Saccharomyces cerevisiae S288C: one gene and its partner. The protein of the gene in region 2 purifies or fractionates together with the protein of the main gene of each other region. This does not show direct contact. Each region holds a gene or a part of one and is shown on either strand. Other genes may lie near its edges.

Region 1 (3,755 bases), on a different chromosome or scaffold from region 2:
TGGAACGCCTAAGCCTTGAACATTTTTTAATGGTATGACCTTTTTTTCTTTGTTATTCCATTTACCACCTTGAATTAGTGCCTTTAATAGTCTAGTAGAAAATGCTCTATGTATTGGGTGCTCTTCTTCGGTTATGTCACCCTTAAAAGTAGTTAAAATGTTGTTTAAGACCTGTTGATACTTTTCTTGGTCTTTTTCATTCAGCTGCGCGTACAACTCATCGTTTATTAGAACTTCGGCAATGAACTGACAGCCTAGATTCTCTGTCAATATACTGGAATAATCTTTTGATATAGTGCTTAAAAACATGGGGGCGAATTTTGACAAAAGTTCGTGCCTTCTTTGTAAAGGATCCTTCTTAGAGGTGGCTTTGGACAGTTCAATGTATCTCAATAATTCATTCTTGACGATAGGTGAGAAATACTTACCGTCCAAACCTAATAGTATGTATAACCAAGGCCTTCTACCAAACTTATCAATTATGAATTCTTGCAAATGTTCCTTAACAGTAGGACTGAAAGTCTTGAATACTAAAACTGTATCGTCAACACAGTTCAGAATTGTAATGAAGACAATATTACCGTACTCATTTTTGATCAATTTTTCGGCGTGGTTTTTCAAAGCCTTTAAAATTAACTTTCTTTCCTTGGCGTTAGCTCTAGCAACCAAAGTACAAGCAACGTCTGAACCTTCTGGAGTATGCACCAATTCAGCGAATTGTTCATGAAGCAATTCGATCATTTCAGATATTTCCTTTTCGTTGGCTATTTTCACATATTCTCTCATAGCAGCATGTAGAATTTGAAAGCCGGTGGAACCCTTTTCTACTGATGCGGTAATGGTACCAATCAAGTTTCTGGCGATAATATTCCTTTTTTCAATGCTACTTTCACAAACTTTCTCAATGGTCAAATCTTTGTGGGTTTCTCTAAATACAGCATATTCAGAGCCCCAAAACTCTTTAATCATTTGTTGTCTTTGTTCATGTGTGGCATAAAGAACAAATAAATCTTCAACAACGTAGGCACCCTCACGATGTCTCATTAATTTTCTCAAAGAACCGTGTAATTCATTTATTATAGTTTGCCTTGAACTTCTTGAACCATAATGCAGTAACTTAACCAATAGATACTTACCGTACGCAGATGTGGCTAGAACATAAAATTTTCCCTTTAAAGCATCGACAATTTGTTCACGACGATCTTTGGACGAATACTTGACTAAAGTTTGAACAATACGGGAAGCATCATGCTTTAAGACAAGATCACTGATACAGTCCTTAGATAGCTCCCAGATTTCGTTGGAAAGTTTTTCACGAATCTGTTTTGGTAAAGGTGGGGTCTTCACACGCAATCTTTCCCAGACGGATTTAATTTGTTGCACTTGGGTACCAGATTTTCTTTGCATTTTCCTTTCTTTTAGCAGTTTTCTTTGTTCAGTGTGATTTCCATTTTCACCTCCTTCAGATTTGTCCTTTCCTTCTTTCTCTTCATTCTCATTTTCATGTTCCTCACTGTCATCGGAAATATCTAATTCGTCAGCTTCTTCTTCTGCTTCAGAGTCACTGGTACTTAAATCATCCAAATCATCATCATCTGATGAAGAGGATACAGCATCTTCCTTTTTGGATAGTTCTGATTCTTCATCAGACGAATCAATAGAAATTCTAGGTTTTTTGGCTAATTTCTTTTCTGAATGACTAACTTCTTTAGCAGAACGTTTTCCGTTTGTCTTCTTGGTTAAAGGTGCCATTGTCAGTTAATTTGTTATTCCTGATTGTGCTTTATTTCAGTACTCTATAATAAAACGCTTTCACCTTCGAAATACTTTAGGTAGGCATCTCATCTCATCCCAGCAAAAAAAATTTTCAGTATTTCTCTCAAGGTGAAAAAAAAAAAAGGTCTTCAATGCCGGGTTAGTTAATCTTCTATATATGCATACAACAATTAGTTCGACTTAAATACAATGAACTTTTTTCTATCTTGTAATTTATTTTTATTTATTTTCTACTATGTATTTGAATATTCAATTGCGTCTCCTTCCTTTTACCTCGTGAAAGGACTATATATCCTCTATAATCTCTTGAGTTGGTTCATATTTCAATTCATGAACTCTGGCAACTTGCTGTTTTCTCTTCTTGGCCAAAGCTTTCGAGGCTTTGATGTTGAACCCGTCCTTCAAAATAGTTTGTACCTCTTCTAACTCCAATCCCGATAATTCTGGATAACAGAAGTAGCAGAAAATGGTTGATAAGCACGACAATCCCGCGAAAAAGGCAAATGTACCTGCAGGAGTGATATTCTGTAACATGGTCAAAAATGTGGATGCAATAACCAGTGAACCAGCCCAGTTTGTAGCAGTTGCATATGAAGTCCCAATACCTCTCACGTTTTGGGGGAATAGTTCCGATTGTTGCCATGGAACAGTACCGATACCAAGAGCGTAGAACGCAGCAAATACGATAATAAATACGATGATCACAATACCCCAAGAGGAGAAACCGGAGGAAACCACCACAGCGACAGCGCCATCAAACTTAATACCTAGAAAATGGAAAGCAATAGAGCACACGACTAAAGCCATGGTCATGCCTGGTAATCCAATCAATAATATGGTTCTACGGCCTATTTTGTCAATGGAAAAAAAGGCAACTAAAGTGAAAATAAAATTGGTACCGGACACGATGATTGAAACAGCGGAAGAATTTTTGAAACCGACAGTTTCGAAGATGGTACCAGAGAAATACATCAACGAATTCCAACCGGTAAACTGTTGAATTGCTTGTAAACCACAACCAATGATCAAAGCCCTTAGATTAGATGGTACTGTGTGCAATTCTTTGATGGTATTCCAGACTTTTTCAGGGACATTCTTACCAGGAATAGATTGATTCAAAGTAACAAGTTCTTCCACCTTACGTTCAATGATTTCCTCCGAAGTGTCAGTGTAACTTCTCTTCAACACCTCAGTAGCCCTTGCCAAGTCGCCCTTCATAACGTAGTATCTTGGAGTGTCAGGTAAAAAGCACAGGCATGTGAATTGCACAGCAGTGGGAATTAGTGACAATCCAACAAGAATTCTCCAACCATTGTTGACGTAGTTTAACCCAGCACCGCAACCGTAAGCGACTAATTGACCACCAGTCAACCATAAGGAATTGATGACAGTTAGTCTCCCTCTGATCATTTTGGGAGCAATTTCACTGATGAAAAGTGGCGCGATCAAGGAGCCGATACCGACACCGAAACCCATGATCAGTCTACCAACAGCCATTTGCCAGAATGTGTGTGCGGAGACCTGTAAGATTGCGCCAATGACAAACATCAGATTCGAACCCATTAAACAACGTTTCCTACCAAATATGTCAGCTGCAGTACCGGCGAAAATACTGGTAATCAAAGCTCCCAGAGAGGTAGCCGCAGTGACAATTTCCTTCTCCCCATAAGTAAGTACCTTGTGGTCCAGATCTGTGCCGATCGAGATCAGCGCACTGGATATATAACCAGTGTCGTAACCAAACATGAAACCGGATATGGATGCGACAAAAGTCAGAGTGATGATGAAGGGCGAAAGAGATTGGTTAAAAGTGATCATGACCGACGTGTCATCCTCGTCGTTCACGGGTTTAATTTGAATCCTATCTTCATCATCGCTAGCGGGAGCCCTCTGTATTTCATGTGACTCAAGTGTAATTTTACCTCTCTTTGAAGGTGAGTCATGCTCACTGTTGAACTCTACACTATCAGCGTTGCCAA
Region 2 (3,755 bases):
TCCCATTCAGGCATAACCCAATCTGCAGTGCAGACCCCTCCATCAGAAAATTTTATAATCTCTCTTCCATAAAATACCTGAAATTTTTTGGAAAAATCACCGGCTGACAAATAAAGGGTCTGTAAGTAACCTGTGAAAAGCAAGCTGTTTAACCTAAAATTTGCACCATCTTTGAGTGTAGGCACGTGTTTGGTTACGAATTCATGAAGAGGAATTTGGCGCTTAGAATCTCTGAAAGCCAAAGACTTGGTTCCTTTCTCTCCCAGTACATGTTTGACGGTGCCGTTATAGCCCCAATGGCTAGGAGTGACAGTTGGATAGTAACCCGAGCGAAACATTAAAATGACAAATATGAAAATACTTGATATCTTGATCTTTTTGCTAATCTTCAAAAATACCGAAAACTAAGTAGGCAACCAGATGCAGAACCCTTCTTATATAATCGATTCCTGTAAGCAAGTGTCAGCAAATAGCTTCTATATAGAGACCTTTCGGTGAAAGTATATTAAAGCCGGCCGGAAATTGAGTAATAATAACCGCTAATTATGCGGTGTGTGGATTCAGATTTTTGCCAGGAGCGATAACCTTCAAATCTAAAACTACTCACTATAAGCGATGAAGCAACCAGATGGTAGCGCTTTGGTGCCGGTTCTCTTGAAGGTTTGTACATGTGCGAGTTCATGAGGTTACAATATAGAAGGTTTATACAGTAGAGCTATACAGGATAATGGAAGTTCAGTTTTGTTCGGCTTTTTCATTGATGGCTTTCTTCTTATTGCTTTCTCTCTTGGCTTGTTTCTTCTTCATTCTTTTCAGTTTCTTTTTGTAACTATAAGTATCCTTCTCACCAAAACCGTAAAGTGGCTTAAAACTCTCTAGTACACCGCAATCTTCGAACAGGTTGGGAAAGATCCAGAACCCACCAACATCTTTGTAGACAATTAATGACAAAACATATAATATCAATCTCAGGATAGCGACAGCAAAGAAGCCTGCTAAGATGCCGAAGGCACCCAGAGACACATAATAGGAGCCGCGTCTCATGGAGCGCGGCCACAATGGGTAGCATACGAGCGCCAATATGATGGACACGACACCAATGACGATCAAGTAATCCATGTAGGTTCTAGGGTTATAGTTCCAAACAAAGTATTCATCGGCTTCCAATTGTGCTTTATTCGAAACAATCAAGTGCGGAAAGTCCTTGCTTGGCTTCAATCCATGCTCTTTGCATTCTTGACTATGCAATTTTTTCACTGGGATCACCATTTGTGCCTTTATAAGTTGAATAAAGATTTCACGTGACTTAAGCTGGTCTTCGATCTTGTTAGAAGGTATAGTTGGATATATCTCTGGCTGTCTTGCAGATTTGTTGGCATACTCCTCAGAATGCAGTGCCCTAACAAATCTCTTGTAACGGAAGAAGTCTGTCTGCTTGGCCTGGAATAAACCCTGCCTTTGCTTCAACTCCTTATGGTTGCGTAAAAGAGTAGCAATGGCTGTAGCAGATCCGCCATTGACACTAGCACCTGCATTGCTACCTGGACCTACGGCTGACATGTTCTCCTGTGTTTGCTCGGCTACCATACTGCATTCAACTGCAATTATAAAAGCCCACTCTTCTCCCTCTTGATTTGTATGCCAGTATTGGGAAAACGACACGTCTATTCCGTCGCACACGATCTTCACTTTCTTTTTTTTTTTCAACTGAACGAAAAGTTTTTTCCGCAGCTCATCGCAAAGAAAAATTTTCACCTATGTACTACCTCATCTAATACAATATAAAGAATACACTTCAGATTTAGGAGTTGCAGCGTTTATAAAAAAGTAAGTGTACCCTCCAAAAGCAAACACATCTCCCTCCTATACCGAAGATGCAACTTTCATGGAAGGATATCCCTACTGTCGCTCCAGCAAATGATTTGCTGGATATTGTCTTGAACAGAACCCAGAGAAAGACACCAACTGTGATCAGACCTGGTTTCAAGATTACAAGAATCAGAGCGTTCTATATGCGTAAAGTTAAATACACAGGTGAAGGTTTCGTGGAAAAATTTGAGGACATTTTAAAGGGTTTTCCTAACATCAATGACGTGCATCCTTTCCATAGAGATTTGATGGACACCCTATACGAAAAGAATCATTACAAGATATCTTTGGCAGCTATATCTCGTGCGAAGTCCCTTGTGGAACAAGTCGCCAGAGATTATGTCAGATTGCTAAAATTCGGTCAATCTTTATTTCAATGTAAACAATTGAAAAGGGCCGCTTTAGGTAGAATGGCAACTATAGTCAAGAAATTGAGGGACCCATTGGCCTATTTGGAACAAGTCAGACAGCACATTGGTAGATTACCATCGATCGACCCAAATACCAGAACCTTGCTGATCTGTGGTTATCCAAATGTCGGTAAGTCCTCGTTTTTGAGATGCATTACCAAATCAGACGTCGATGTTCAACCATATGCTTTCACAACCAAGAGTTTATACGTTGGTCATTTTGACTACAAATACTTGAGATTTCAAGCTATTGACACCCCTGGTATCCTAGATAGACCCACTGAAGAAATGAACAACATTGAAATGCAATCGATTTATGCCATTGCCCATTTACGTTCTTGTGTTTTGTACTTCATGGATCTTTCCGAACAATGTGGTTTCACCATCGAAGCTCAAGTTAAACTATTCCACTCCATCAAGCCTCTATTCGCCAACAAGTCTGTCATGGTTGTTATCAACAAAACCGACATTATCAGACCGGAGGATTTAGACGAAGAGCGTGCACAATTACTGGAATCTGTTAAGGAGGTTCCAGGTGTTGAAATCATGACTTCTTCATGCCAACTGGAAGAAAACGTTATGGAAGTTAGAAACAAAGCATGTGAAAAACTATTGGCTTCTAGAATTGAGAATAAGTTGAAATCTCAGTCTAGAATCAACAATGTTCTGAACAAGATTCATGTTGCTCAACCTCAAGCAAGAGATGATGTCAAGAGAACACCATTTATCCCAGAATCTGTCAAGAATTTGAAGAAATACGACCCTGAAGATCCAAACAGGAGAAAGTTGGCCAGAGACATCGAAGCTGAAAATGGTGGTGCTGGTGTCTTCAATGTTAACTTGAAGGACAAGTACCTATTAGAAGATGATGAGTGGAAGAATGACATCATGCCAGAAATCTTGGATGGTAAGAATGTTTATGATTTCTTGGACCCTGAAATCGCTGCTAAACTGCAGGCTCTTGAAGAAGAAGAAGAAAAATTGGAGAACGAAGGGTTCTACAATTCTGACGATGAGGAAGAAATCTACGACGGTTTCGAAGCATCCGAAGTAGATGATATCAAGGAGAAAGCTGCATGGATTAGAAATAGACAAAAGACGATGATTGCTGAAGCAAGAAATAGGAAGTCCTTGAAGAACAAAGCTATCATGCCACGTTCTAAACTAACTAAGTCCTTTGGTAAAATGGAAGAACACATGTCCACTTTGGGCCATGACATGTCAGCCTTACAAGATAAACAGAACCGTGCTGCTCGTAAGAACCGTTATGTTGAAAGAGGTTCTGATGTTGTTTTTGGCGACCAAGATGCTTTGACAGCTTCCACTGAAAACGGTGTCAAGTTGAGACAAACCGATAGACTGTTGGATGGTGTTGCTGATGGCTCCATGAGATCCAAGGCCGACAGGATGGCCAAGATGGAAAGAAGAGAAAGAAATAGACATGCCAAGCAAGGTGAATCTGATAGACACAATGCT

The links.
Region 1: the proteins of NOG1 (region 2) and PUF6 purify together in Saccharomyces cerevisiae (affinity purification with mass spectrometry; 5 studies listed by BioGRID, with this or other methods). This does not show direct contact.

What each region holds. Positions count from the first base shown.
Region 1 is NC_001136.10:1,441,652-1,445,406, forward strand, and holds the start of PUF6 (Puf6p), read right to left. Parts: upstream 1,753-3,755; coding exon 1-1,752. Other genes in the region: myo-inositol transporter ITR1, read right to left, coding at 2,062-3,755. UniProt on the Saccharomyces cerevisiae protein: RNA-binding protein involved in post-transcriptional regulation. Component of the ASH1 mRNP which transports the ASH1 mRNA to the distal tip of the bud, where the ASH1 protein is translated and targeted to the daughter cell nucleus.
Region 2 is NC_001148.4:369,104-372,858, forward strand, and holds the start of NOG1 (putative GTPase NOG1), read left to right. Parts: upstream 1-1,874; coding exon 1,875-3,755. Other genes in the region: EEB1 (medium-chain fatty acid ethyl ester synthase/esterase), read right to left, coding at 1-338; Sec63 complex subunit SEC62, read right to left, coding at 736-1,560. UniProt on the Saccharomyces cerevisiae protein: Involved in the biogenesis of the 60S ribosomal subunit.